2 linked regions of the Stegostoma tigrinum genome follow. The protein of the gene in region 1 interacts with the protein of each later gene in a biochemical or structural test. Links are inferred from orthologs where the notes say so. Each region holds a gene or a part of one and is shown in the gene's direction. Other genes may lie near its edges. The genes, in order: voltage-dependent P/Q-type calcium channel subunit alpha-1A-like and cacnb4a.

What was found.
Region 2: the proteins of voltage-dependent P/Q-type calcium channel subunit alpha-1A-like (region 1) and cacnb4a form a complex in vitro, tested with the Homo sapiens proteins (2 studies listed by BioGRID). The link is inferred for Stegostoma tigrinum from reciprocal best matches to the Homo sapiens genes CACNA1A and CACNB4.

What each region holds. Positions count from the first base shown.
Region 1 is NC_081388.1:22,036,114-22,052,744, reverse strand, and holds the start of voltage-dependent P/Q-type calcium channel subunit alpha-1A-like, read left to right. Parts: upstream 1-8,154; 5' UTR 8,155-8,604; coding exon 8,605-8,864; intron 8,865-16,631.
Region 2 is NC_081360.1:87,468,906-87,485,281, reverse strand, and holds the start of cacnb4a (voltage-dependent L-type calcium channel subunit beta-4a), read left to right. Parts: upstream 1-10,334; 5' UTR 10,335-10,534; coding exon 10,535-10,618; intron 10,619-11,145; coding exon 11,146-11,238; intron 11,239-16,376. UniProt on the Homo sapiens protein: The beta subunit of voltage-dependent calcium channels contributes to the function of the calcium channel by increasing peak calcium current, shifting the voltage dependencies of activation and inactivation, modulating G protein inhibition and controlling the alpha-1 subunit membrane targeting.

The sequences.
Region 1 (16,631 bases):
CAGCTACAAAACTTTGTGCACAAGCCTCCATTTAGAATATGACTGTCATCAAAACAGATCACAAGATCAATTATGAGGAAAGGTGCAAAAAGATCACGGTCAACCATTGCTTGCCACTGTATCAGGACCTGAACAATGTGAGGAATCCTAAAGATAAATATAGTTTAGAATATGACGTAAAAGGAAATAATGATCCTGACGCATGTGGTGAGGCTAAGTGAATGAGAACCAGACAGGATATGACAAACTAAAAAATGTGCTGGATGTGGAAATAAGAAGTGGAGAACAATGGAAGGAAGGAAACGAATAGTTGACTAATTTTGCTAGGAAGCTGGCGATTACAATCTAATATTATTATGAAGCTCCCCTCCCCTTGTGAGCTGACTCGTGGAATTCTTAGTGCTATTTCAATCTTTGAAGAGGTAACAAGTATGTTAGACCAGGGAAACCCAGTAGATGTTATCTATCTAGACTTCCAAAAGGCCTATGATATGGTGCCTCACAGGAGGCTGCTGAGCAAGGTGAAGGCCCATGGTGTTCGAGGTGAGCTACTGGCTTGGATTGAGGATTGGCTGTCTGACAGAAGGCAGAGAGTTGGGGTAAAAGGCTCTTTTTCAGAATGGCAACCAGTGACGAGTGGTGTCCCGCGGGATTCAGTGTTGGGGCCGCAGCTGTTCACCTTATATATTAATGATCTGGATGAAGGGACTGGGGGCATTCTGGCGAAGTTTGCCGATGATACGAAGATAGGTGGACAGGCAGGTAGTACTGAGGAGGTGGGGAAGCTGCAGAAAGATTTAGACAGTTTAGGAGAGTGGTCCAGGAAATGGCTGATGAAATTCAATGTGAGCAAATGTGAGGTTTTGCACTTTGGAAAAAAGAATACAGGCATGGACTATTTTCTAAATGGTGAGAAAATTCATAAAGCAGAAGTACAAAGGGATCTGGGAGTGTTGGTCCAGGGTTCTCTAAAAGTTAACTTGCAGGTAGAGTCCGTGATTAAGAAAGTGAATGTAATGTTGTCATTTATCTCAAGAGGGTTGGAATATAAAAGCAGTGATGTGCTTCTGAGACTTTATAAAGCTCTAGTTAGGCCCCATATAGAATACTGTGTTCAACTTTGGGCCCCACACCTCAGGAAGGACATACTAGCCCTGGAGAGTGTCCAGCAGAGATTCACATGGAAGAACCTTGGAATGGTAAGTTTAACGTGTGATGAACGGCTAAGGATCCTCGATTGTACTCATTAGAGTTTAGAAGTCTAATAGAAACTTACAAGATAATGTATGGCTTAGATAGGGTGGACTCTTGGGAAAATGTTTCCGTTAGGTGGGGAGACTAGGACCCGTGGGCACAGCCTTAAAATTAGAGGGGGTAAATTTAAAACGGAAATGAGACAACATTTCTTCAGCCAGAGAGTGGTGGGCTTGTGGAATTCGTTGCCACGGAGTGCGGTGGAGGCCGGGTCGTTAGATGCCTTCAAAGCAGAGATTGACAAATCATTGATCTCAAGGAATCAAGGCCTACGGGGAGAGTGCAGGGAAGTGGAGTTGAAATGCCCATCAGCCATGATTTAAATGGTGGAGTGGGCTTGATGGGCTGAATGGCCTTACTTCCACTCCTGTGTCTTAATCCTGGGCTGAGCACCTCCTCCTTGTTCAAAATTGATGTTTCAGAATAGAGGCCCTTTTCTGTCTCCTATGATGTAGTAATAGCTTCTTATAAAGGATCATTCATTGTACAATAAAGAGTGTTTCCTTGATTGTGTTGCATGTTAAGTGATAAAATTTTTGACTCGGTTAATCTAATATATACTGGTCATTTGTAAAAGTGCTGATCATAGCAGAATGTTTTGAGCATCTAAAGTTGTTCTTTAGGACTAAAATACGTAACACAAGACTTTTCATTCATATTTAAACATTTGTATGAACTCATCATTTTCTTCTGTTGAATATGTATTTCTTGGCATGATATTCGGGCGTAAAGACCAGCAAAGTTTCAGATTTGATTCCAATATGTACTGAATTTAAAAAAATAATAGATGGGGTGATATTATTAGGTATACAATTTAGTCTTTGTTTTTGGGAGAAGAAGTGTCCTGATCAGTGTTCTTGGACACCTTCTACAATAAAATGTGGGAAGAACAGCAGTTGAATTGAAATTGCTAAAATGTTCCTTCATGTCCAGATAGTCTGCTGATACTCCACCTATTTTTAATAAGATGTGATTCCTAATTGGATCAACTTGGGATCCGGTCTGGGATTGTAACAAGACGAATTGATCGTTCCTGATTTATAGCATCTGCAGTTCTTTCAGTTTTTATTTAAGATGAATTGAATGCTGAGTTCCATGCAGGAGGACTGAATACAATAATGAGTGGTAATGAGTATATAGTGATTAGTTCATAACTGAATTACTTTGCAAGATTTTCTTTTTAGCATATACATCTTTGAACAAGCCAATATAGATGGAATATTGGAGTCGTATGTAAGCTGCAGCATTGATTTATCAAGATTGCAGAGTGATGGGAGGATACACTTATGTTGAAACACTCAAATTCTTGCGGTATATTCAGTTATTTATGTTATGGACAGGTCTAAAAGGATTGTTCAAAATTATGCAAAGATTTTAAGGCAAACAGTGTAAGTTATATCAACTGATTTTATTTCCCTTTCATGGAATATGTGCAACACTTGTAAGGGCAGCATTTGTTGTTAACTCTTGGAGGCTTAGCAAACTACAGCAATGCTTCTTTATAATGCTGCCTCTGTGTATCAGGATGAAGAGATTGAATGCTTAAGGTGGGGAACAAATTAAGCAGGCTTTTGAGTTGCTTGTGTGGTTGGAACAGCATTTATCCAGGTAGGTAGGGAGTACTCTATCACTCTTTAACTTGTGCCTCACAGATGGCATACTAGTTTTGGGTAGTCAGGTGATGAGTTGCTTGTTTAAGAATTCCCAGATTCTGATCTGCTGTTATAGGCTGGTACAGTTAAATCACTGAACAATGGCTAATGCTAGGAAGATTCAGCAATGGTAATACCATTAAATGTCACTGGCAATGATAGGCTTTTGTGTTGTGGGAGGTGGTCACTGACATTTTCTGTTTTTTTTCCCAATATTAGTTGCCACTTATCAGCCCAAGGCTGAATATTGTACAGATCTTGCTGTGTATGGCTACAGACTGCTTCAGTGTCTGAGAAACTATAAATGGTAGTGAATGCTGCAATCTTAAATAGTCAAAAACATTTTTAACCTTTATTACAGAAGGAAAGTCATTGCTGAAGTAGCTGAAGATTTTTGAACTAAGGATACTACCCTGAAGAACCATTTGTGGTACGGTAGTTTTTTAAAATAATTCATTCACAGGGTGAAGGCATTGCTAGCCAGGCAGCATTTATTGCCCATCTGTAATTGCCCAGAGGGTAGTTTAGAGTCAACCACATTGCTGTGGATCAGGAGGCACATGCAGCTAAGTTTCCAGACCAGGTAAGAATGGCAGTTTTCTTCCCTAAAGGGCAATAGTGAATCATATGGGTTTTTCCAACAATAGATTCATGGTCATCATTAGACTCTTAATTCCAGATATGTATTGAATTCAAATTCCACTATGTGCCATTCCAGGATTTGAATCTGGCTCCCCAGAACATTATCAGGGTCTCTGGATTAACAGTCCAGTGATAATACCACTAGGCCATTGCCACTGAGTCAGGAGGCACAGATTCAAGTTCCAACTGCACCAGATGTGTAAAATGACATGTCTGAACAGGTTGATTAGAAAATATTTAACCTGAGGATTTCCTGAAATTGTGCTGGGATAATTGGCTTCCAACAAGCATAATCATGTTATTTTGACTTCAAAAAGTGGGGAGATTTTCCCGATTCCTATGACATAAATACTTTGCTGGTATTCAACTATTGGGCCATAAGATTATGTGCTTGATAACATCTGACAACAATTTATTGATACTGTCATTTTTTTCCTCTGTCTATAATAACCATCTCTGTAAAGTAGGCATCAATTGCAACCTATGGACATTCGTGATATGTGTTCACATTTATTAGGAACCGAATGCAGACTTCCCTTTTTACTTAAAAGATGCCTAGTAGAGAAGAGGCTTTCATCCTTTCAGCTAAGACTGAAATTGAATCTAAGTTCCATAAAAAAAACACTGCCCAATGTACCTTCACGTATTAAAAACATTGAGGTTAACTTTGTGAAATAAGTGTTCAGGTCATGTAGTTTTACGTATATACTAAGATACTATATATGTGTGTGTGTGTGTGTGTGTGTATATATATACATACACACACACACTATATATTGTAATTTTATCTAGATGACCTACATATCTAAACAGGTACGGGAAACTATTTCCACTCTTGAAAAGATCAACAATAAAATGGCACAGATGAAGTAATTGACAAAAAAAAGCAATACAAGATTTCCCCCCCCCACCCCACACAGTGCGTGGGTTAAGATTTGAAATGCGGTGCTTAAAAGTGTGGTAGAGGTAGGTTCAACTCTAGCATTCAGAGTGTTATCTGAAAATGAATAAGTGTAGCGTTAAGGCAGGAGAATGGCTTTAAGTGAATTCCTTAATTGGAGAGTTAGTGTACAAGACACAAACTGAACACTCACCTGTGCATTAGCAAGATACTAGCCAATTTTGTTCTGGTCGACATACTGATAGAAGCAATAGAAGACACAGTTCAGTAATCTTTTGACAGTTGAAGTGAAGGAGTTGTCCATTTATTAGCAAACAGTTGAAGGAATTAAGCTTAATACAACTTTCAGTTCTCTGTTCATTGTTTGCTTTCAGGCTGGAACTGAATCATGGATAAGTTTTCACTCAAAGGAAGATTCACTGATTGGAAAATATTCATGCAAAATTTTTACCTAGAACATTGTATAGGAGTTGTGAACGCTTGATAGGGTAAATTGTACATACTTTGTGGAGATGACTCACCCATTTTAGATGCATTTTACAGGACCTCCTTGTGGAGCTCCTCCAAGGTCTGGCCAGAGGGTTCACTAAACCTAAAATATTAACTCTGTTACAGTGCCAGACATGTGGAGTTCTTCCAGCAATTTCTGTTTTTGCTTTTCATTTCCAGCATCTGTAGTTCTAAAATAAACATGAATGTTGTGGGTAAAGGTAAAGGCTAGGAAGGCAGTTCAATAGTCTGTGTTCACAGGGTTTGCCGAGATGATTCTTTTGACTTGTCAGGATTTGTTAGCCCTTGATAGTCCTTCTGCAGGTACCTTTACTCGATTGCTGAAGGCACAGAGCAAATAGTTCATACATATAAAGTCTCAGACATTTTAGTTAAGATCTACAACTTGCAGCATCTTATGACCAGAAATAAACAGGCTTTCTTCAGGTTTAAGGTTATTTTTACTACAGAGTAAAGAACAGCACCTTCCTTTCCAGAGATCCAATGGCTTCTGACCATATCTTCACTGGCTCCCAAGTAGCTGAACAGCTTGTGCCAATCACATAATTATTGGCCGGCAGAAGCACTTTGTCATTGCCAACTGGTCATCAGTCCATTGATCAATCAACTACTTACTGCTGGTTGAATCTCATTTTGTGCTCATCATTACCTGTAAGTTCCCTTCCAAGCACTCACCATCCTTGGAAATAAATCACTGTTCCCTCACTGTCACTGAGTCAAAGTCCTGGAATTTCCTCCCTATTGGCATTGTGGGTCTGTCCACAGCATGTGGACGACAGCAGCTCAAGAAGGCATGTCAGTGTCACCTTCTCAAAGGCAACTAGTGTTGGGCATTAAATGCTTGTGATGCGCACATCTCACGAGTGAATTTTTAAAAAAGCAATCCCTAGATCCAGCTCATCTGTGTCTAAACCTACTGACTGAACAAACAGCAGTGTAAACAGCACTTACAATGAGTTTTCGTAACATTTTAAGAAGTGCAATAATCCTTTCCACAATTCTTCATTTTCAAAACAGACCTTTTCCTGTTTTATTTCACAATCAAAAATATAGCAAACTAAAGCTATGACATTTACAGTCATCAAAAGATTTGTGCACTGTAACTCTGAGAGATGGAATCCATGATAGATCCTGTTTCATGTTATAAGGTGATGTTCAGTTTCTGTTTTGCTCCTGGAATTTATCTTGATGCCTTTTATACTAGTTTATTCTGCTTGCTTTGATGGCTTTTCCTGGTAATTTATTTAAGCTCATTATTGACAGTTTTGTTTAATCAATATGAAGGCACTTTAAAAGTTCATGACTGAAGGGGAACTGAAGGAATTGTTGTACTTATTTAAATGGAAAGATTTTATGAATTGAAGATATTTCAGCACATAAAAAATATTACGAAAGAGTGGACATATTAAACAAGGCTTTAAAATTCCAAAACAATTTGTAATGTATAAAAAAGCAGAATATTAAATTTGGAAGAGGTATGTCAAAATCAAAGACATACATTTAACATTGAATAAATGATTGTACATAGAACGGGCTGTCAGATAAAGTACTTAGTGTGCAATTAAAATTCTTAAGAAGTTGGGTGAGTACCCCTCACCGTGATTAACAGGCCTCTCAATCATATATGATCCATCTCTCACAATTCAACCTTTACCCCTTCCTGTACCTGTTGAAATAACAATAGGGTTCCTCTTGTCCTCACTTTGTAAACCACCAGTTTCCATGTTCATCTTCTGCCATTTCTGCCACAGCAGGATACCACCACCAAAGATATCTTCCCCTCTCATCTACTACCAGTATTCTGCAGGGATAATTTCTTCTATGACATTTGGTCCACACGTCCATCACTCCTAACACTTCCTCACTCCTGCATGGCGCCTTACCATGCAATTGCAGCAGATGTAACACTTGTCCCTTCATCTCTCTCTTCATCCTACAACCAAATCTTTCAGGTAAGGTAGCATTCTGCGAGTTCAGTCTAATCTACCATATTCACTATTCACAATGTGGCCTCCTTTGCATTTATGAGACCAAATATAGTCTGTGTGAACACTTTGTGGAACTTTTCTGCTGCATTGGAGACAACCTTCCAGTTGCATGTCGTTTCTTTCAACCATCTTGCTACCATGCTAACTTTTCCACCCTTGGCCCTCTACAGTATTCCAATGAGATTTAACACAAGCTGGAGGAACAACCTCTGCTTAGGCTCTTTAAAGCCTGTAGAATTCAATACTGAGTTCCACAACTTCAGAGAATAGTCATTTTTTTCACATTCCCTACCCTCCCCTGGCTGTTCCTCTTTCATTTCACACTGAAAAGTCACACTGGACTCAAAATGTTAACTCTATTTCTCACTCTTCAAATGCTGCCAGACCTGCTGAGTTTCTCCAGCATTTTGTTTTGGTTTAGATACATACCACATTAAGGGGATGGGGCCGAGGGCTGAAAGTCAAAGGAAGAAAGGGATGATAGAATACCATATAAAACATATTTCTGAATGACTAAGAACGAGAAATATTGTGTCAAGGTACTGATTGAAATTAAGGTGCAGATGCAATTAAACAGTTTTGTTTATTGCTGAAAAACACATTTCATCAAAGCTTTTTATCTTGTACTCATCAGAACAGTTCACAAGGAATACCAAAGTAAAAGGAAAACAACATTTCTTCTGTATGAGACATCGAATGTTGTTTTGCTTTTAGTTTAGTATTTGAATGCACGATTAAAAGCTTCGACTTTACTCCAGTTATATCCCACCAAAGGACTATTAGACACAATGTTAGAGTGTTACCTTGCAAGCTTTAGAACTGATAAGAATTTCAGAGAGTACGGATCGAAATAGAAAAGCACCCTATTTCCACTAAATTCCTCGTACTGCTTTTCTTGGCATTATGAAATTTGAACCAGTGGAAGATTTATACTTAAAGACCAATAACTCGATCTGGCGTTTAGTCCATCAGGTAATGTTGCCGGTTGATATCTTAAGCAAATTTTGCTGCCGCATTCTCCGAAAACAGGGTGGACTTTACAAAAAAAGAAATTTTTTTTTGATTTTCCTCTCCCTGAGCTTTTTTGAATAAAATCAGATTTCGTTCCCTCATTGGGCAGTAGGAATCATGTGGCTAGCTTTGATGCTGTGGGCTGTTGGTTGGCTGCATAAATCTGATCAGATGCTTCCCATTGCTTACGCTTCACCAGTCGATCGGGTACTCGCAGTCCAGATCCTGATTAATATAAATACACGAGAGAGGACGAAAAATGTTCGGCGATGCAGTATCTGATGGAAACCGATGAAAGGCATGAGTAGATGGTGGATGTTTGCCTGGGAGGCTGTGTGGATTTTACTCTGGGATTCTACAGCTTTGAGATGCAGATGATGCAAAGGCGATCGAGGGAGTAAAAAAAACTGCAGATGCAAAAACGACGAGATCATATATTTGATTTTTGACACGAGGGGAAAATATTTCTTAAATCTACAAATGACCCAGTCTTATGAAGAATTAGCCACTGGACAATGAAAACCTAAGAAAAACAGGGCAAAAATCTAAACTAATTGCATGTGCACCAGTGTTGGAGCAGATGGGATGTAATGTGGAGTTGCCGTATTTATCTACTGAATGGTGATCTTTGGCATCTGTTTATAGAATGGCGAGATTTGGAGACGAGGTGCCGGCCAGGTATGGAGCCGGCCAAGGAGGCGGAGGACGCGGCGGCAGCCGTCAGGGCGGACCGCCAGGAGCACCTCAAAGGATGTACAAGCAGTCGATGGCCCAAAGAGCCCGGACCATGGCTCTCTACAATCCTATCCCAGTCCGACAAAACTGCTTCACAGTTAACAGATCTCTCTTTCTCTTCAGTGAAGACAACTTTGTAAGAAAATATGCCAAAAAGATCACTGAATGGCCATATCCTTTTTTTATTTTGTCTAATTTATTGATTATCTTTTAATACCTTACATGCAAGCAAATAGTGTAAATCGATTGATTAAAAAAATCAAAATGATGTGAATTTCACAGTAGAAAGTACATATGTCAGTCTCGCGGGCATAAATGATAGTACAATGTCAGTTCCACTCGTATAATGGTAGCATTTTCTGTGACTGGCCCTTCATGTAAATTGGATGGCGATTGCTTTGCCATTGCAGTGAGAGGACTATTTGCAAAAAAAAAACAAAATAAAACCAATCACTACCAAAAATGTTGCTATGCTTAAAAATTCCTCCACACTGTGATGCAGCCAATTTCACTTTAAGGATATATAAACAGCTATTTGCAGTTGAAAAAAAATGTTATTGGTACACCCCATCTGATCATAGCTTTAGAATAAATTTAAGAAACCTTTTATTTGGTGCATAATTGCATACTTTTATATTTGTAGTGAATCTGAGCTAGTTAAATGCCTGATGGGAGAAGGATGCATTAACTGGTGTTGCTGACGTGGGGCTGTACCTATTTTAAGGAACCATTCAGAGAGGTTGTGGTGATGAATAGGATTTTTTTTCATGCCTGTGCTCACTTGGTCACATGCACACCAATGAACACATGATCATCGGGATAAGATGCACAGATTGTTGAAAGTCTATACTGGTACCAAGTCCTAATCTGTTCCTTTTTCATGTCTTTATATCCACACACACTTAGCAGAAGAATTGAAAAGAAATGACAATGGGTACATGTGTCTTAGAATTTCTGGCACTGGGAATTCTAGGAATTGTTTAGGTTAATTCATCTTTTTTGATTTTAATCCATATTCTTTACTCATGTTCTGAAAAGTGTGTGTTCTGCATTTTTTTTTGGTGCAGCCTAGGTGCTAATGATTTTGTTTATGTAATACCAGCTCAAACTCCACTTGTGTAAGATTTTTATCCAGCTTTTAGACAATAGACAATAGGTGCTGGAGTAGGCCATTCAGCCCTTCGAGCCAGCACCACCATTCATTATGATCATGGCTGATCATCCACAATCAGTATCCTGTTCCTGCCTTATCCCCATAACTCTTGATTCCACTATCTTTAAGAGCTCTATCCATCTCTTTCTTGAAAGTATCCAGAGAGTTGGCCTCCATTGCCTTCTGGGGCAGAGCATTCCATATATCCACCACTCTCTGGGTGAAGAAGTTTTTCCTCAACTCTGTTCTAAATGGCCTACCCTTTATTTTTAAACTGTGTCCTCTGGTTCTGGACTCACCCATCAGCGGAAACATGCTTCCTGCCTCCAGAGTATCCAATCCCTTAATAATCTTATACGTCTCAATCAGATCTCCTCTCATCCTTCTAAACTGAAGAGTATACAAGCCCAGTCGCTCCAATCTTTCAACATATGATAGTCCCGCCATTCTGGGAATTGACCTTGTGAACCTACGCTGCACTCCCTCAATAGCAAGAGTGTCCTTCCTCAAATTTGGAGACCAAAACTGCACACAATACTCCAGGTGCAGTCTCACCAGGGCCCTGTACAGCTGCAGAAGGACCTCTTTGCTCCTATACTCAATTCCTCTTGTTATGAAGGCCAACATGCTATTAGCTTTCTTCACTGCCTGCTGTACCTGCATGGTTGCTTTCTTTTGCCAGTCATTTGAGCACTGTGAAAGAAAATAGACTGACTTTTTTTTAGGAAAAAATAACAAGCACATTTATTAGGAGAATTAATACCATATCCTATGTATACTGATTTATATCCAACGCTTACCTGACCTCTTCTGTGACTGCTGGTGTTGGTGCTGTGGAATACTAGAACCAAGCATTTCAGTTGCGGTATTACGTAGAGACTTTAATTTGCCCTATCTCAGAAGAGTAACCCCTTGCACATCTTCAAGATTTTGGTTCTTAAGGAAGTAGATTTAGACCATTAAACTGATTTCACGTAGGATATTTACAATCAAAAATAGAGGAAACTTTAATCTCTTCCACTCCCTTCCTAATGAAGGCTTAATTATTCTTAATGTTTCAGTGGCTGAATTTCTCAAGTGTTATCCTTGCAGTTCCATGTTTTTGTCGACATTAAGATCCTCCTCTGTAGTTGTTTGTATTTCTGCACCGCAGAGGATTAATTTTCAGATTTGATATTCCCCATTCCCCTATAAATACCTGTAGAACCTTATTTTCTGAGTCCTACTCCATTCCTTATACACCCTCCAGTACGCTGAGCAGTCTGCTTCTTGTGTGAGGTCCTGTTGTTACCAGTTTTGTTTTGGTTGCAGTGTGTTCACTCTCTGGGCCTCATTGCCCACATCTTTCTTAGTAAATGTACCCCCATCAGCCTCATGTTTCACATATTTCCAGACCTTTCTTGTCTTTTGAGATTCCCCCCGCCGCCCAGCATACCCCACTAACCACCACCATCATCTCTCCCATTAGATGTCCAGTTCCTAATCACTGACCTGTTGCAACTGTTATCACTTGTAAATGCCAAGTGCTGTAAATTTAAATTGTTCAATTTTTTGTGCATTGGCGTGAAGCTAACAGTATCAAATTATACTCAATCAGACATACCTCTGTTTCTGTTATTAGGTAGGTAACTAAGAGTTTTTTTTAATTCCATTGGATTACATAGTGAGGAACTGAAACAGGCTTTTTGTACATCGTGAGGAACTGAAACAGGCTTTTTGGCCCAACTAGTCCATGCTGTTCATTGCTTCACATGAGCCTCTTCCTATCTTACCTCACCTAAATATACCATTGTCATCATCTGTTTCCTTCACCATATAATCCTTGCCTAACTTGTCCTTAAATATACCTGTACTATTTGATTTACCACTCTAGTATTAAGAGTTTCTCCTTTTGTGCCACAGCATGATAGTTGTTTGTATGGTCTGTCACGATTTTAAAGTATATCAGAAGTTGTAATGCTCACGTTGCTGGAATTAATTGATGATATAGAAGAGCATGGATAACTTTTTCATTAGGCAAAATTTCAGTCTAACCTTAAAGGTATTATTAATTAAATATTTAGTTTGAGAAGCAACACTTATGGAGTACAATGGCATTGCTCAAGTTAAAGTTAATTATATGGTGGACTTTTGTGAGACACAGTAAAGTAAGTGGATAATGGAAAACAGCATGTCACCACGTGTGCTCACTTGTACAGATTTGCTGAAAAATGGAAACCAGTCAGAAAAGTTTGCTTTGCACACATATTAAAATTATGGTGTAAATTATATTCAGCATTATACAGATAAGAAATATATAAATTAGAAAATACATGTCATTTGTTTTGCAAAAGCTTTGTACAAACATAATGCACAACAATATTGTCCCTCTTGATACATTAATTCTAAATTACAATAGACAATAGGTGCAGGGGTAGGCCGTTCGGCCTTTCGAGCCAGCACCACCATTCATTTATGATCATGGCTGATCATCCACAATCAGTATCCTGTTCCTGCCTTATCCCCATAACCCTTGATTCCACTATCTTTAAGAGCTCTATCCACCTCTTTCTTGAAAGAATCCAGAGAGTTGGCCTCCACTGCCTTCTGGGGCAGAGCATTCCATATATCCACCACTCTCTGGATGAAGAAGTTTCTTCTCAACTCTGTTCTAAATGGCCTACCCCTTATTTTTAAACTGTGTCCTCTAGTTCTGGACTCTTTCCCCACCCCCCCAATCAACGGGAACATACTTCCTGCCTCCAGAGTGTCCAATCCCTTAATAATCTTATACGCCTCAATCAGATCCCCTCTCATCCTTCTAAACTCAAGTGTATACAAGCCCAGTCGCTCCAATCTTTCAACATATGATAGTCCCGCCATTCCGGGAATTGACCTTGTGAACCTATGCTGCACTCCCTCAATAGCAAGAGTGTCCTTCCTCAAATTTGGAGACCAAAACTGCACACAATACTCCAGGTGCAGTCTCACCAGGGCCCTGTACAGCTGCAGAAGGACCTCTTTGCACCTATACTCAATTCCTCTTGTTATGAAGGCCAGCATGCCATTAGCTTTCTTCACTGCCTGCTGTACGTTCTCTTATTGTATTTATCAAACCTAAAGATATCTAATTGCGTCATTTATATATTCATGTTGATGGGCTTTCTTGATTTTTCTTTTCTATTCCCACAGCTTTTTTACATTCTCTGCCTCTTTCATTTCCTAACTGTATTTTTGTACTCCCTAGAATTTTTTTTGTAGTGAATAATTTTCCAAGATTAACTTTTTTAATTTCATTAATTTTTGTTTTAGAAATTCCCTTGGAATATCTTAAAGTTTCTGTCCACAGAGAAGCTAAAATTCATAGTTGGATACAATTAACATCATAGAAAAAAGCGTAATTGGTTTATGTGATGTTTTATGCCCTTCTTGCCACACTTCTTCCTTTAGCCTTCATTTTGTATTCCTCTATTCCTTTTTCCTCCCTTAATTTATTTTCCCCTGCAATGTATCTCTAATACTTGCATCAGCATTCCATGCCATATCATTTTCTATATCCCATCACTGTCAAAAGGTTTACCTTGAATTCCTTGGATTTATTGGTGACCCTAAGTTTGGACATGGTTGTGGACTGGACCAGACCAAACCCCTTTCAGACATATCAAAGAGATAGCCTACATCCTAACTTTTACCTTCTTTAAGGTGCCGTGTTCTAGGTGTAATTTGGTTGGTACGCTACTCAATTTTAAGCAAAACATAGTTTATTCTTACTGCACAGTTAAAATACAAACAGTACAAAGAAGAATTTGTGTAACTTTAACTCTATTGGAAAACCGAAAAGAATAATAGATTATTTAACTACTAAGCAGCAGCTGCTCCAATATTAGTAACACCCTGTAAACACACCCTTGGCAAAGAAAATTCAGTAAAACAGATTCTCTCTCTGCTGCCAGAACTACATGTGAGACAGAGCTTCCATAGCCAACTTCAAAACTCAATAATTGCTGAAAGCTGAACTATAACCCCGGTTCTGTGGGAGCCTGACTCCACTCATTCATGCCACTTCTATTGTTTGAAATTAAATAAAAAGCCCCAAGGCTCCTCAAGCTGTTTACTTTATTGACTTGGAGGAAACAGCTCAATGCCTATTGTTGAAAACCTCTCTTCAAATAAAAGGACAAAATATATCTCTAAAAGCTGTAGTATCAACATAGCTCCACCCCCTTAAAAATGAACAGCCAATATACAAAGATGGTTTTCTTCTTATAAAAAATCTTTAGTCTTACACTGTTTGGTACACCACTGTACATAACCATTGATTCTAAGCACACAAACATTCAATAATACAGCTCATCTCAATCCCTTTCTTCCTCCACCGGACACCTTAATTTCCTTCAAAATAGTGACAATGCTTCGGCAATTGCATTCTCTCATCCTGCAGCATGTATAATTTTCACATTTAAATATCTGTAACAATAAACTCCATTATAAAGAGTATGCTATTTTTACCTTTTACATTTTTCCAAAAGTGTAAAAGGGTTATGATTAGTATATATTGATGAGTATATTAGTATTGGCAACATAAACGTTGAAATAAAAACAAAGTTGCTGGAAAAGCTCAGCAGGTCTGGTGGCATCTGTGGAGGAGAAAACAGAGATAATGTTTCGCGTCAGGTGTGACCCTTCCTCAGAACTTCTGTTTTCTCCTCCACAGATGCTGCCAGACCTGCTGACCTTTTCCAGGAACTTTGTTTTTGTTCTTGATTTACAGCATCTGCATTTCTTTTGGTTTTTATAAATGTTGCAATGCCAACACCAAACTGATGGTCTCTCTCAATTGTGAAGTATTCCTTTTGATGAATATTTAACTTACTGGAAAAATATCCAATAGGTCTTGCTATCTTCTCTTTGTCATCTTGGAAGAGTACACCACCATCACCCAAATCACTAGTGTTAATAGCCACTTTGAATAGCTTTGCATAATTAGGTATGGCTAATACTCGGGTGGTGGTTGGCACAGCTTTCAGGCTGCCAACTGCCTTGTGATAATCCTCTTGTCCACTGGAATTTCCTGCACTTCTTAGGAAGGCAGTCAGTGGAGCAACCATGCTCCTAAAGTTTGGTACTAAATTTCAATTAAAAAACTGCTCCGTCCAGGAATTGTAATACTTCCCTTTTCATCGATGGATGGGAAACTCCTGGATAACATTTGTTTTCATATCCGGTGGAGCCATTTGTTCATGTCCAATGACATTCCCAAGGAACGTGACTTGGGCTTTTATGAACTCATTCTTGGCCAGCTTTATCACCAAGCTCACCTTCTGAAGATGTTCGACCAATTGAGATGAATGCTGCAAATGTTCCTTCCATGTGTGACTAAAAATCACCAGATCAGCGATTTATACCATACAATTGGGTAATCCCACTGACCTTATTGGTTAGTCTTCAAAATGTTGCTGGTGCATTTTACATACCGAATGGTATGACTTTAAATTTGTCCACTCCATTTGGTGTTACAAAAGCTGAAATTTTCTTTGCTCCCGTGGATGAAGGTATCTGCCGGTATCCTTTGTGTAAGTCCAGCTTTGAAAAATAGGTTGCTTGTCCTAATTTCTCAATACGGTGTTCCAACCATGGAAATAGTAAATTCCCATTTGCCAGTATTTAGCCCATATCCCTCTAAACCTTTACTTATTCACATATCCATCCAGATGCCTTTTAACTGTAGTAATTGCACCAGCCTCCTCCACTTCCTCTGGCAGCTCACTTCTCACACACCCCACCCTCTACATGAAAAATCGTTCCTCTCTCACCTTCAACCTATGCCCTCTAGTTTTGGACTCCCCTACCCTAGGGAAAAGACCTCCCCTGTTCTTCCTATCCAACGCACCTCATGATTTTATAAAGTTCTATAAGGTTATCCCTTGGAGTCCGATGCTGCAAGGAAAGTAGCCCCAGCCTATTCGGCCTCTCCCTATAGCTCAATCCCTTCATTCCCAGCACCATCCTTGTAAATCTTTTCTGAACCCTTTCACGTTTCACAGTATGTTCAGCAGGGAGGCCAGAATTAGATGCAGTATTCCAAAAGTGTCCTAACTCATGCGCTGTACAGCTGCAACATCGCTTCCCAAGTCCAGCACTCCATGCACTGACCAATAAAGGCAAGCATACCAAACACCACCTTCATTACCTTGAGTGCAACTCCACCTTCAAGGAACTATGAACCTACACTTCAGGGTCATTTTGTTCTGCAACACTCCCTAGGACCTTAGCATTAAGTGTACAAGTCCTGCCCTGATTTGCCCTACCAAAATATAGCATCTCACATTTATCTAAATTAAACTCATCTGCAACTCGTCGGCCCATCTGATCATGGTCCTGTTGTACTCTGAAGTAACCTTCTTCGTTGTCCACCACACCTCTCCAATGTATCACTAAGCTAATAGTGTTACAATAGCTATCAATTATTTATATATTCTTATATTTTGCAACAACAGGCATATATATTTGAGATTTTGTAGCTGCAGAGTCTAATGACACAGAAGAAACTATGCAATCTACCCTTCCCATGAAGGCCCTTTGACAGAGCTATTTAATTCCCAAACCTTATCCTGTTTGATAGTTATTGTTGTATTTGTTTACATAATTATTTTGGGCACTGCATAAATTACTACATAAAATAAAACTTAAAAAATCTCATTGTGCTTTTGCCAATCATCTTAAATGTGTGCATCCTGGTTATCAATCTTCGGATTAGTTGCAACAGTTGCTACCATCTATGCTGATCAAAACCCTTTATAATTTTG
Region 2 (16,376 bases), on another chromosome or scaffold:
CTGGCTTAAACTTACTTCCTTCATTAGGGTGGTCACCCAGTGAAAAGTCCAAACCATCTCCAAAATAGAAGCTTCACCCTGTCAGTTGTAAACCTAGCCAGGAGGTGTGCAATTATCATATGCCATGTGACTGCTAAGGTATGCCTTATTGAAACAAAGTTTTTTTTAATTAATCTCTTTAAAAGAAAATTCAGTTACTCACAACTCTTCCATCACCCGATCATTATACCCAAGGGCTTTCATGAGTTAAAACAATTTGGCTAAAAAGGCCCTTACTCATCTAAAATGGCTGCCGCAATCACCCGACCACAGACTGAGGCAAGTACAGGACACTCATGTATAATAAATAAAACTGTCGATAACTGAAATTATCATTTTATGCAAAGATATTAAATCCAGGCAATTAAGTTAGTGCCAAGAAATCCACAAGTATGATGATTTCATATATTTTACACTGGCTTCATGTTTGATAATTCTATTTACTTAATAGAGTCATAAAGTCTTGGAGTTGTACAGCATGGAAACAGACGCTCAGTCCAACTTGTCCGTGCCAACCACATTGTTTTAACACAGGTATAAGTTCTCAGGTATAATGATCAGGTGGTGGAAGGTGAAATTTGATAATCCATATTTGCCACTACCATAGCACTAAGTGAAATTCTCTTTTGGAGGGCTGGCACAGCCAAGATGGGCTGAATGACCTCCAATTGTGGTCATATTATGAAATAATTTGATCTGCTAAAGTTCTCGCTGGTCTTTTACGTTCTGTAAGCTACAGTCACTGCAAAAAAAAATAGTATTCTCATCCCCCTTACAATAAGCAATTGGTTTTTCCATTGTCCAATTACTCCATCTCATTTTCATTTTAGTTATTCTCGACTGACTTTTGCACAATTCCCAGCCCATGCTATTTTTGATTGATACTAGTCCTAAAATACCTTTCCTTAGCCTTTAGGCTAGCTTTGACCTCCTTATTTAGCCACTGGAGCCCTGCTCTTGAATTATTTTTCCCTTGTACTGTATCATAATCTTCTCAATCTGAACATGAAGCCCCTGGCAAAGAATGTAAACATTAACACCATAATTATAGTCCAAGGATTTCAAACCTTTCTGTGTGGGTGATACCCTTCAAATTTGAATGCATTTCCGGATATTATTGTAAAGACGGCTTTCCACAGGAACCTAAGACCATAAGTAGGTCACTCAACTCCTTCAGTCTGGTCCATCGTCCAGTAAGAACATTGATTATTTACAATTTAATTCCATTTACCAGCCTGTTTTACATATTTCTTGATATATTTGTTTGCAAAATTTAAATTGTACTCCTTTCTGGGGAAAAGACTTCCAGACTTTTTTTGATTTTTTTTGAAACATTGCCTCCTGATTACATTCCCTATTGGCCTTGCCTTATTTTCAAGATTCTGGCCGATTGTTCTAGATTCTCTCTCTCAAAGAATTACTGCCTCTGCTCTATCAATTCCCTTTATTACTTTAAACACTTTGACAATGTCACTCTTCAGTCTTCTATGCTCAAGGAATAAGGCCAATCCATCCACCCTTCTCCTACCAACCCCCCAGTCTCACAGATAGGTCTCACTGCCTGAAGTGAAGTCTAGAGGATGGAATCTCATATGGGTCTGAGCGATGTGGCGTACTGTGTGATGTGTGGCAGAATCAGGTAATAAAGCTCGTCTCAACATGAAGATCACCATACTTCAGCTTATATGCTTTTCAAAAGAAAAGTGGTTAGTTTCTTGTTGGGGAACAGCGAGATACCAACTGACGCTAACTATTGATTGTTAAGTGAATTGTTAATACAACTCACCTTCTGATTATTCAGACTCCTTTCGGAATTGGGTGAGTCACTAAATAAGATAGATGCTTAGGAAAGTACAGACCATGTACCTGGTGGATTCCGCTCAGCACTTGCTCTAAACGACTTCCATCTTCGGCACAGGGAAGCAACTGCTCAGGGGACAGTTCATGGGCAGAGCTGCATGCACCCTTCATCTTCAGACAGTGGCATCTGGTACCTGCCAACACATCATGGCCATCATGGCACCTCCCCGATACACTGGCAGGACACTCATGAGGTGCAGCCCTGCACTGCAGGGCACAGTGAGAGCTAGCATTGAGAAGGCTGCAGCAGGGATACTTGTTTCGCATGGACAAGAATCCAGTAGGACCAGGTTGCATTTCAGAGCTGCTCACTTGTTTTGTTAGCACTCAATCATTTTATGCCCACATGCATCCTTGCACCATCTACGCCTTGCCTTACCATTCCATGCTATGCCTGTTAGATTAAATTAGATTAGATTAGATTCCCCACAGTGTGGAAACAGGCCCTTCAGCCCAGCAAGTCTACACTGCCCCTTGAAGCAGCCCACCCAGGCCCATTCTCCTATATCCCACACGTCCCTGAACACTATGGGCAATTTAGCATGGCCAATCCAGCTAGCCTGCACATCTTTGGACTGTGGGAGGAAACTGGAGCACCCGGAGGAAACCCACGCAGACACAGGGAGAATGTGCAAACTCCGCACAGTTACCCGAGGCTGGAATCAAACCTGGGCCCCTGGCGCTATGAGGCTGCAGTGCTAACCACTGAGCCACCATGCCGCTACCTAGACATAGGTACTTGAGCCAGAGCAAAAGGTTGCCATCACTGATGTTCTTGGGGGAACTTTATCACAAATACAAGCATTGCACACTGAGACAGCAATGTAACACCCACAGACTGGTGGGGGCTAGTCCCTAGTTGTTAAGTGGGTGGTACTGTCTGACAGGAGGGTGCCAGTAACATCAGTTACAAGTTTAGTCCACACACAATAGTGGCTCACTTACAGTCAGTCATCCATCTGGAATGCTCAAAATCTGGGGATTTGTCCTGAATCAGTTCGGGAAGTGTTCAGTGGCCAATCTTATCGGACCAATACAAGCTCTCAGGGGAATCGCATATTATTACTTGGGGAGGTGCAAAAACACAGCATCATGGTCTGTCAGTCATGTCTAGGGGCTGATCATCAAAGCTGGGCAAAGATCTGGTACAAATACATATTTGATATTCCTGAAGTGCTCAGAGATAATGATCTGCAAGGCAGTGCAGGATAGGAAGGGACAAAATGCGCAAGCATTAGAAAGCAGCAATAGAATGGGTCATGAGGGAAAAAGGCAACATCAATGCCTCTTTACTGAAATTCACATAGTATTTAGAATAAAATAAATGGCTCAAATACAGGTTAATGGGTAGGACCTTATAGCCAATACATGGTTACAAGCAGATCAAATTTGGGAACTAAATATACAGTCATGGGTGATTTTTTAAAAGGTCAGGCAAGAAGGGAAGGTGGAGGGTTAAATGTGTTAATAAAAGATGACAATTAGTGTGATAACAAGAAATTATGTTGGATTGGACGTGGAGGAGAACAGGGGAAGAGGGCACTTGTGGGAATTGTCTACAGGCACTAATAGTAGCTGTACAGTTGAAATAAGCACAAATCATGAAATAATGAGGCATGTGAAAAAGGCAGTACACTCATCATGGATGACTTTAATCTTAATGTAAACTGGGAAAAGCGAATTGGCAAAGGTTGCCACGAGGAAGAATGCATATAGTGTATGCAGAACTGTTTCCTGAAAGAATTTTTTGTAGAAACATAAAAGCATAGAAACTAAGTGCAGAAGTAGATCATTCGGCCCTTCGAACCTGCTCCACCATTCAATATTATCATGGCTATTCCTCTTTCTCAATGCCATATTCCTACTCCCTCCCAAAACCTTCGACACTTTTAAAATCTGAAAAAGTAACTATATCTTTCTTAAATATAGTCAGTGGCTTAGCTTCCCCAGGCTTCTGAGTAGAGAATTCCGCTATCTTTGGAGTGAATAAAGATTTCCTTGCCTCAGTACTAAATTGTCTACCCTGAATCCTGAGTCAGGGTCCCTTGATTCTAGGCTCCCTGACTAGGGGAAACATCCTCCCTGTGTCTGCTTTGTCCATCCTGTTAGAACTTCATATGTTTCAAAATTAGATTCCCTCTGATCCTTCAAAATTCTAGTGAATACAGGCCTCGTCTAAGCAATCTCTCCTCATGGGACTATCCTGCTATCCCTGGTATCAGCCTAGTGAACCACCACTGCATTCCATCTATGGCAATCATATCCCTTCTTAGGTAGGGAGGCTACAGCTGCATATTTTAACTGTGGTCTCACTAAGTCCCTGTGTAGCTGCAGTAGGACATCCCTCTTGCTGAACTCAAACCTCTTGCAGTACAGGCTCATATATCATTTGACTTCCTAATTGCTGGCTGCACCTGCCTGCCTACTTTCATTGACTGGTGTACAAAGACACCCAGATTCCTTTGTATATGCCCATTTCTCAATATATCACCATTTAATTCACACACTTCCTTTCTGTTTTTCACACAGAAGTGTATAATTTAGCTACATGATCCCTCTGGGGAGTTTTGGCACATCCAACCCAAGAAGTAATTTATTTTGGGTCTGGTGCTGTGTGATAAATGATCTCAGAGTAAGCGATCAGTCGGGGAACAGTGGCCATAACATGGCAGAGTTTAGAATTAATTTTGATAGTGAGAGACTTGGGGTCTGAAACAACTGTACAAAACTTAAATAAGGGTAATTACATAGGGACGAGAGCTGGGGTTCACCAGAGAGAACTCATAAAGGAGTTTATCAGAAAAAAACAATGTTGAGGGGCAAAGGTAAAATTTTAAGAAAATAGTTCATGAATCACAGCAAAAATATAAATTAGTGCTGAAAATGGACACTAAGGAGGGGATAAATAACTAGGGAAGCTAAGGATAATATTAAAAAACATGCAATGTGGCAAAGATTGGTGGTAAATCAGTGTCAGCGAGACAGTCTGACAGTGCTGGTCTGCAACAGTACTTATATTTAAAAATCTAACGCATTGGCTATGAGTGATATGGAGCTTCTCCAAGATGTGATAAATCATTATATTGATACGGATTCTTATGCACTGAAAATGTTATGATGTCCTACTGGAGACCATACAACGTCGGAGCAGAAGTAGGCCATTCAGCCCACTGAGTCTGTTCCACCATTCGATGAGATCATGGCTGATCTGATAATCCTCAACTCCACTTTCCTGTCTTTCCCCTTCAGCCCTTGATTCCCTTACTGATTAAAATCTATCTATCTTCACGATTCTGATATTCCTCTCAAACCACTTATTCCATTCTGTTATAAGTCATATTTCACACAGATTTAAGAGTCAATAAACACAATAGACACCACATAGATTTCACAAAATATTTAACTATCCTCTGAATTACATAAATCAATATTCTATGAACTTTTTTCAGAGTTCTTTATTTGGAGTTAGATAGTGTACTTTGGCATTTGGCACATGATTGCCCAGCTCAGCACTGCAGTGCCATGCTATACATTGAATGAGATGGATTAGAATAATTACTAAAACATTCTCTCTACATTAGAAAACTATCACTCAAAATCTATAAAAAAACAGAATGCATGGGATTACTGCTGAGACACAGATTCCAGATGAAATGAGCAGTGACATCTAGTGACAAATGTACTCAGGAGTTGCTGGTAGTATTCATCATCACTCAAACATGATCTCCCTGTTTATGACTAGTAAATCAAACAATCCAGTTTGCACTCCCTTAAACAGCTTGACGCATTTTTTCAGCTGGTGATCTCGTGAGGACAGGCACTTTCCATTTTTAATCCTAGCTTGTTTAATATGCCCTTTATATAAATGCAACAGAGGAGAAAATGCATGAGCTAACAACTTCACATTGATTTCCAGCATTTCAATGATATGAAACAAATATTAGATCTTTCACCCTAGATCTTTCAAATGCAGCAACGCAAAAGCGAGTCCCATACCTTAACTTTCAACAAAGCTGTACCAGTCACCAAAAGATAACCTTGACATCAGTGCATAATTGCTGCATAGTAACTGAAAAAAAATGTTAGCAAGTTTACCAAAGAGAGGAACATGCAGACACCTGCAACATTTTGGCTAAGAGGTAAGATAGGCTGTTGTGATTTTCTTTGAGTGGAAGAGGCTGAAGAGAGTTTTCATTGAGTTGCATGAAATTACGATAGGCCTCTACAGACTGGGTTGGAAATCCCAATGTCCAGCTATTAGTCTATACATTTTGGTACCTTAAGTGCAAAATCAATTTTTTGCAGTGATAGGCCTCTACAGACTTAAGAATTATAGAATCCCTGCAGTGTGGAAGCAGGCCATTTGGCCCATCAAGTCTACACTGACCCTCAAAACAGCATCCCACACAGACCCCCAAAATCCCTCAGCAGAGAAGTCAATAACTGGTGTTGTGTGAGGCAGACCCAGAACCATTAGGGAGCAGTGGAGGACATTTTTTGTTCACTCAGTGAGTGGTGGAGATCTCAAATTCACTGCCTGAAAGGGTGTTAAAGTTGAAGTCTTCACTGCAAAAAATTGATTTTGCACTTAAGGTACCAAAATGTATAGACTAATAGCTGGACATTGAGATAAGACTGGATAGCTCTTTTTCAATCAGCACAAAACTGTGCTTTATCATTTAATGATCAGTTGTTATGACACAGAAGGAGGCTATGGTCCATCGTGCCTGCACCAACTCGTCAAATGAGCAATTTTAACCGCATGTTAATCTGCTGCTTTTCCCCATACCCCTGCATGCTATTTTATTTTAAATAGTCATCCAATGCCCTTTTAATGCTGCAAGTGAAACTGCCTCGATCACATTTCCAGGCACTATATTCCATACCCTAACTGCTCGCTGTGCGCAGGTTTTTCTAACATCACCTTTGCTGCTTTCACACATCACTTTAAATCTATGTCTTCTATTACAAGCAGAGCAACTTAAGAATTATAGAATCCCTATAGTGTGGAAGCAGGCCATTTGGCTCATCAAGTCTACACTGACCCTCAAAACAGCATCCCACACAGAACCCCAACTCCCCACCCCTGTAACCCTGCATTTCCCATGGCTAACCCAACTGGAATGCACATGCATTAACCCTAAGGGCAATTCAGTGTAGCCAATTCCACTTAACCTGCACATCTTTGGACTGTGGAACGAAACTGGAGCACTGACAGGAAACCCATGCGGACACAGGGAGGATGTGCAAACTCCACACAGGCAGTCACTCAAGGCTGGAATTGAACCTGGGTCCCTGTCACGTGAGGTAGCAGGGCTAACCACTGAGCCACTATGCCACCCTACTCTACCCAGGCTGTATATTTTTACACAAAGTAAATGTGGTATCCCATTCCAGAATCTTGAGAGTTCAGTGTCATGTATGAAAATCCTGCATGAATGATGATCACAGACCTTTGATAACCTGCAGCTCCCATTGCATCAAGCTGGCAAGCAACTCAACTTGGTCCTAATTAGCCATTTATTTCTTTCCAATTTTCTGTGGTAAATTTTGCATATCTCTCTTCTGAAGTCACTGATTTCTTGTTGAAGTTTTGTCCTGCAGGTACTTTCCTGCTCAGTAGAAATGTCGTTCTTCCTTTGTGATCTTCAACATTGCATACTTGTGGACATTCTAAAGGTAGCAATGCTGTAACACTTGAGAGTTATCATCACCTGGTACTAATAAGTGTAGTGATCAGAAGAAAAACTCTGGCTAAGGTTCGTGTTCCTAAATTAAAGCACAATGACCAACTCCATGGCCTCTATTAGATCTATTTAAATTTCAAATATGGAATATAGAACAACAAAGAACTTACAGCAAACTGGACCACAATTATCCTTATGTTACAAATGGACACCCTTTTATCCTATTTCACACAATAATCCTCATGTTGTTTTGATAGTCATTGAAAAGAAATCCTATGAATTCATTCTAGCGGCTGAAAACATTTTGGAATACTGCATTCAACTCTTCTCTCCCTGCTCTTAGAAGAGTGTTGTTAAACTTGAAAGGGTACACAAAATATTTGCAAGGATGTTGCCAGGGTGGGAGGGTTTGAGCCATGGGGAGGGGCTGAATAGGTTGTGGCTATTTTCCCTGGAGCATCAGAGGCTAAGGGAGTGACTTTTTAGAGGTTTATAAAATCATGGTGGTTATGGATAGGATCAATAGCTGAGGCCTTTTTCCCAGGATATGGGAGTCCAAAACTAAAGGGCATTTACTTAAGAGATAATGGGAACTACAGATGCTGGAGAATTCCAAGATAATAAAATGTGGGGCTGGATGAACACAGCAGGCCAAGCAGCATCTCAGGAGCACAAAAGCTGACGTTTCGGGCCTGGACCCTTCATCAGAGAGGGCATTTACTTAAGATGAGAGGGGCAAGATATTAAAGGGGCCTAAGTGGCAATTTTTTCATGCAGAGAGTTGTGCGTGTATGGAATGAGCTGCCAGAGGAGGTGGTCGAGGCTAGTACAATCACAACATTTAAAAGGCATCTGGATGGATACGTGAATAAGAAGGCTTAGAGGGATATGGGCCAAATGCTTGCAAATAGAACTAGATTAATTTAAGGTAACTGGTTGGCATGGACAAGTTGGACCAATTGTCTATTTCTGAGCTGTACGTGTCTATGACTGTCTGACTCTACGCTTTCAGGAGTTTAGACAAAAGAGAGGTGAATGCAATGAAATGTTCAAGACCATAAGTTAGACTGACAGATGCTGGCAGCTGTTTTTTCCTGACCTAGCAATAGAGAACTAGGAACAGAGCCTAAAAGCAAGGGGCCAATTGTTTAAAACTGAGATGAGGTGCAATAGCTTCACTGAAAGGGCTCTGAATCTGTTGAATTCACTAACTCAGAGGGTTGTGCATGTATCAATACATGCACCAATATTCTTAAGGCTGCGAATAGGCATGTCTCAAGTCTCTCAGGGATGTGGAGGTGGATTGCGAACGTGAAACTGAAACCAAAGTGATGATCAGCGATGGTCATAGAGTCTTTTAAGAAAGGAAGGTATGTTTATGTCAATCTTACCTGAATAGGGAGGTGAAGGCCTAGTGGTCATGGTAGGCAACTAATCCAATGACCCAAACCCTGAGATCTGGTTTTGAATCCTGCAGTGGTAGGTGAATTCAACTCTTTAAAAAAAAGGAATTAAGGATCCCATGATGATTGTTTGGGGGTTAAAAAAAATTCACTAATGTCCTTGAGGGAAGGAAACTGCCATCTTTACACGGTCTGGCCCACATGTGACTCCAGACCCAGAGCAATGTGTTTGACTTTTAAGCAAATTCTGGGCAATTAGGGATGGACAATAAACACGGATCCAGTCGGTGGAGTGCACACTCTGTGAATGAAAATGAGGAAAAAAATCTGGGCCAGATGTGACTCCGGATTCTTAACTACCCCGTGAAATGACCTAGCAAGCTACTCAGTTCGGGGACAATTGGAGGTGGATAATAAATGCTGGCCTCAGTGGCAACCGCGTCAATATGGGAATGCATAAATTCAAATTAAAAAAAAGTGAACGCCGGTTTTCTCCTGCTCGTCGTGTTGTTTTGAAGCGCCGACACTGGGGTTCTGAAAAGTTCAGAAACTGGCACAATCGCTTTCTGTTATTGTATCATTGCTGTATATGCAGATACTGTCCCTGGAAAGATCAACTGGTGTCACCGTCCTGAAATGGAATAAAGTAGCTTCATTTTTTCCCCAAAAAAAAACAAAACCAGAAATCGCCGGAAAAGCACAGCAGGTCTGACAGCTTCTGTGGCGAGAAATCAGAATGAACGCTTCGAATGGAGTGACCGTTCCTCTGTAGGTAGCGGGGGGGGGGGGGGATGGATTTTAAATCCACGCCAGGGATAGTTCAGGAAATGCACAGCCATGTGTCAAACATTGTGCACCTGAGCACTGCCGAGGCGCTGAGATTATTTAATCTGCACTTCTCTATAATAAAGACTCGTGGTAATAATTACAAACATGATGACCTGCCACTCGTAATTCTTCCTGGCGGTGCAAATGATCCAAAAAAACGATGCGTTTGCTGCAGTCGTTAGATTGGGACGTCTTTCGCACAGGAGGAAAAAAAAGGCTGTAATTTCCCCGCCAGCTCCCCGAAGGTGAACAGCCCTGACTGTACAAACTGCGTTGAACACACCAGGCACATCTCCGCGGACAGGAGGCCAGATTGCACAAGGTCATTCTTCCCAGCCCGGTTCCTAATTTTCCTCGCTGCATTACTGACCCCTCCTCCTGTCATCCCTCCCCCTCCCTAGGCGGATATATTTCTCGCCCCGGTTTCCTCCTATAATTCCTGACACCTTCCTGACTGGCTGCAGGGGGCTGTGGGGGTGGTGAGGGCAGCTACGGCCGTGCCTGGGACTGAGTGAATTCCTGAGGGGGAGGGGTGGGAGGTGTAGGGATCAGACGGTGGGTACGGTAACTCACCCCTCCCTCTTCCATCAGCCAGACAGCACGTCTCGATGGCCAGCTCCAGCGGCTAGTGAGAGCCACCAGGGGCTGGAGTAGCGCCAGCTCGATGGACTGGATCCCTCATTCCAGCTAAAGCAGCTCCAGCAGCGTCCCGAGCTCATGATCTATCTGAAGATGTCCGGAGTTGGACCTTTATTCACCAAAGACATTCCAGGCGATGGGCTACAGCCGCCCATCTTTCAGGTAAGGGATTGCCTCAAATTATTAACCTCTGAGGAAGGGTCACTCGACCCAAAACCTTAATTCTGATTCCTGTCTGCAGATGCTGCCAGATCCGCTGAGCTCTTCCAGCAATTTCTGTTTGCGTTTCTGAAATTGTTAGGGGGGGGGGGGGTTGACAGGCTCCTTTCTCCTGCACGCCAATTTGTGATTTATTTTGCATGACCGTAGCCTAAACAGGAGCGTGAACTGATGTTGAAATAATCAAAAAAGTGCTACTTTTAATTATTCCATTCCGTGAGCACGCTCAGATAAGGAATGCAACTTCTCTTTTTCTAAGGTTTCCCCTCTCATTGTAAAGAGAAACTTTTTTTGCAAATTAATTCTGTAAGGCTGATTCCTTTTTATTAGAAAAGACAGTTCATTTTTTCTAACGCGTTGTATGTTATTGCTACGGCCCACTGATTCAATGTTATATGATTTGACAGTTAAATCGAGCAGCAATTCATTCACGTATCCCCTTTCTCTTCCCTCCTCCCATGTTCGGCAAGTTGACCCGGGTGAACAGGAGGAGGAGCAGGTTGAAACGTTCCGATGGAAGCACATCGTCCGAGACAACTTCCACCAGCTTCATTCTCCGACAGGTAGGGCACGATAGATGTTTTCCAATCAACCTTTCCTGAGGAGGCGGAACTTGAGCCCTGATCCCCTGGACGAGAGGTAGGGACGTTACCACTGTGTATCAGGGGACCTAAGCAAAGACTAGGATTCTTCTCCCTGCACTTCGTGGACTTCGTCAGCAGAAAATCCTCGGTAAATGCTCATGACAGCGATTCCTGAACTTTTGAACCCATTAATTAAAAGTACTACCACCGTGACATTGCAGCTTTGTGACACTTGATAGCCTATTTAGCCCTGAAGAAATTTAAATATGGCACAATTTATATTTTTTGATAAGGAGATATATTGACTTTGCCAGCACGTTCTATTTTCTTTCCATTAAAGCCTTTTATTTAAATCTGAGAAAGCTGTTATAATATAAATTGGGTCTAATTAGCATTATCCATTAGTGTCATCACTAATAGCATAATGATTACAAGCTTGAAGAAGGGTTTCGGATTTAGAGATGTGACTTTGTTGATTGATAGAGATAATTTTGACTCTCAATGAGTTGCCAGAGGAAGTGGTGGAGACAGGTACAACTACACTATTTAAAAGGCATCTGGATGTATATATGAAGCAGAAGGGTTTAGAAGGATATGGGCTACATGCTGGCAATTGGGACAGGATTAATTTAGGATATATGGTCAGCATGAATGAGTGGACCGAAGCGTCTGTTTCCAAGCTATACTGCTGTATGACTCTACTATGACTTGAAGGTTGTGAGTTGGGGATAGGAGGCGTTTGTGGGCAGCTAGGAGCGGTGGTGATTTTTTGTTTCAGATTCCCTTTGATTGGCTTAATGTCATGACTAAACGCAAAAGGTCGAAAAGTGGATGACCCCATTTACAACCGTCTGAAATGAGTATTGCCAAAAAAAAGTTATGCCAGACAGGAACACTCTGGAATGAGCTTCTCTGCTCTAACAACTGTAATGTTCCAGATTAAGAAATGTTGCTGCTGCTCTACGTTCAGATCAAGAATCTATACTGAATATACTTGTGTCACTAAGCTGTGACATGCCTAGAGTTTAGTATGTTACCACCCTCATGATTCCATGCTGCTGGGCAGATTGAGAAAATGACATTTGTGAAAATGAATATTTTTATTCATTCATGGGATGTCAGTGAAATTGTCAGCATTTACTGCTTATCCTGAGTTCCTCTTGAACTGATGATGTGATTAGACGCTAAAATAAAGTGGATTACAATCTACAACAGTTGTGTTAGAGATGTACTGCGTTTTTAAACACATACACAACTTTGAATGAAAATCACAGAAGCATTCTTCACATTTATGTTTTGCTATATTGTGCACAAGTGCAAATCTTTAATCATAATGTTTATTTAAAATTTTTTTTTATTGATGAACACATTTATATAGCATCTAATCATGTCATCAGTGATGTCACAGAGCTCTCAGGTAATCTGTACCATATTTACTACTGTAAAGGTGAGATGCAGCAGCCATTTTGCGCAGAGCAATACTCCACCAACAACAATAAGGCAAATTAGCAATTAATCTATTTATGGTAGCTTTGGGTGAGGAAGCAACATCAGAAATGGCATTGGGAGGGTTTGGTGGTTCTTTCTGATTAGCAGTATCAATCTTTAATATCTGTCTGAGGGCCTTGGTTTCACAATGCATTCAAATGGTAGGAGCTCTGGCAAAACACCACTGTTCAGCTATCAAGCTGAATTATACATTGAAGACTTGGTCTGATGCAGTCATAAGATGATTCTCCTTGGCCATCAATGCTACATTGTGATGGAAGAAATCTGCATTCAAATTATTGAACTCAGCAATTGCAACAATTCCATGCACTGTATCCACTCACTTTGATACTTTGAACCTGAAAACTCCCATTTGAGTGATTATGGTATTATAGGCTAAAGAAAACTTATTACATGTATGTACATAGTTTTGAATTATATTTATGAAGATTCAGACAATGGGTGAGGGCAGTGCTGTGGATGTTGTGTATTGGACTTTCAGAAAGCATTTGGTATCATGCCACATGGCAGTTTGGTTAACAAATTTAAAAATGTTTGGGATTAATGTGTCTTTGACAGCATGGATTAGTTGTTGGGTAACGGATGATAAGTAGAGATGGCCATTTCTCAGATTGGAGACAAATTCAAAGTGGTGCTTCCCCGATATTGGTGTTGGGACCCTTGCCTTTTTTGATTTATGCGAACGATTTGGAGATGGATGTTGAGGGCAAAATCTCTAATTTTGCAAATGATACTAAGCTAGAGAGAATAGTGAATTGTGAGGATGATGCTGACTGACTTTAGAGGGACATTGTCAAGTTGGGCTAAATGACCTCGCAGATTTCAATGCGATGAAATGCGAGGTAATGCATTTTGATTGAAGAAACATGGTGCGAGAATACAGGCTCAGTGATACAACTTTGAAGGGAGTACAGGGGTAGAGGTTCATGTGCGCAATTCTCTGAATCTTGGCCAAGCAATTTGAAACCGTTCATAAAAAGCTTATAGGCTTCAGTATATAAATAGAGGCATAGCATATAAGTAGCACTACACATTTACAAATCATTGGTCAGATCACTTTCGGAGTTTTGTTTTTAGCTTTGGGCACCTGGAAGGATGCTCAAGCCTTGGAGAAAGTTCAAAGGTAAGTAAAGAATAAGAGGTGATTTTATTGAGGAGTTCAAGATCATGTGCAATTTTGACAGGGTGAAGAGGGTTATTCTGTTTCCACTAGTTGGTATGTCAGTGACTAGGGATCACAATTTCAAGATTGTCAGCAGGAGGAGCTAGGAGGAGAAACTTTTTTTCTCAGAGAGATTTTAGGATTTGGAATGCACAGTCAGGGAGAGTAGTGGAGGTGGATTCTATAGGAGGATTCAGAAGAGAGCTGGATACATATTTGAAAGTAATGACTTTAGAGGACCACGAACATAGGGCTGGAGAATGGGACTAGTTGGGTAGCTCTTGAGGAGCAGTGCAAACATGATGGGTCAAATGGCCTCCTTCTGTACTGTACAATTCTATGATTCTATTAATTTAAAAGCTGTTTCATATTCTGTATGCTCTCAGTAGCTAAAATTAGGTCTTAGAGTAGGCAAGCAAACCAATGATGTAGATGAGAGGATTATTAAGATTTAAAACATATCTTAATATCACATGTTTTCCTTATTCAATTCATGAAGCTGCTGTCTTCCTGTCATTTTTCTGTTGATGCTCATTATTAATTATGGCCCTATGATCATTTTGTAGATGATAGCTATTCAACTTCTAAGGAGATATGCTGAACATATAGAATGGATATCCAATTGATTGAAGTGTTGCTTTGTGCTGTCAGAAATAGCAACTGCCCCTTTAATGAAATTACTCACTTTTGCATTGGTTGTGGTGAATCTGAAGATAGAGATCCTTAAACATGTTGCCATTTGTATAGGTGCAAATTTCAAATTGACTTTGAGCTTGGGAAATTCAATTTAGACACAATGGGATATCACCAGAGAGGTTCTTATAAGTATATTGTGGGGGAACCTTGTTATGACCAGGTGACAAGAAGTGAGAATAGGCACTTTCAAAAGAAGTCCTTGAGATGATAGGTTTTGATATGAGACCACACTTGTTTCATTGTGTCTTCAGCAGAGGCAAAATTTGTAGATGACAATGTGATCATGGTGATTGGATGTTTCTTTTTTGTGGTAAAAATGGACTAACAAATTTCATCTTCCATCATGTGATTTTAATATCTGGGACGGGGAGAAGGAAAATTAATTGATCACAGTATAACTGGAAGACTCTGTCTCTCACTGCATTTCTTTCAACCTATCAGAAAACAGCACACGTGTTCTCTGTCCAAAAACTCTCGCCTGACATACAATTCTGATGTATATTTCTGTGTATTTCTATTACCTCTAGAAAGGTATGAACTGACGAGGAGGTATAGCGCTCAGTTTCAATGCCTTTTTATAACAATGTTGACTGATTCTTACAGATGGAGTGTGCTCAAACTGATTAGGTCACCACTGTGATGGTCTTATTTCAGTATTTTCCCTTTCTAAAAGAATTCACAGTTCACAGGAGGTCCCAGGTATTAAAAATCAGATGATATAAGTTAAAATACGTTAGTCAATTTTTATCACTAGCATAATAATCTAAGCAATGAAACGAGTAGCGTGATGAGAAAAGTAATACAGTAGCTAATGGAAAAGTCAAAGAAAGAAAGACTTCTATTATTTCATTCCCATTTCCACCTTTCATGATCATGAACATTCCAACATGTTTCATAACCAACAAAGTACTCCTGGCGTGTATTACTGCTATTGTTTAGGAAATGTAACAGCCAAATAGTAATCTCGCACAGATACTGATATGACAATTGAAATAACTCCATAAAGGCCAGTGTCTTGTCACCAAGTCATCCTTTATTTACACATAACACTGACTCAACAAGCACACTGCTGGCTCCTAGTGTGAACAGAACCCTTGACATCCCTGTTTACACAGAGTCATAGAGATGTACAGCATGGAAACAGACCCCTTTGATCCAACTTGTCCATGCCGACCAGATATCCTAAATATACCTAGTCCCATTTGCCAATATTTGGCCCATGTCCCTCTATACACCACCTATTTATCTATCCACCCAGATGCCTTTTAAATATTGTAACTGTATCAGCCTCCATCTCTTTCTGTGGCAGCTCATTCCATACATGCACTATGCTCTGTGTGAAAAGTTGCTTCTTAGATCCCTTCTAAAGCTTTCCCCTCTCACCTAAAACCTCTAGTTTTGGACTCCCCCACCTTGGGGAAAAGACCTTGTCTGTTCACCTGATCCATGACCCTCATGATTTTATAAATCTCGATAAGGTCACCCCTCAGCCTCCACTTCTGCAGGGAAAATAGCCTCAGCCTGCCCCTATAGTTCAAACCCTCCAAATCTGGCAACATCATTGTAAATCTTTTCTGAATCCTTTCAAGTTTCACAACATCCTTCCTATGGCAGGGAGACTAGAAGTGCATGTGGTATTCTAATGGTGGCCAAACCAATGTCCTGTACAGCCACAACATAACCTCCAAACTCCAATACTCAATGCACTGACCAATAAAGCCAAGCATACCAAATGCCGCCTTCACTACCC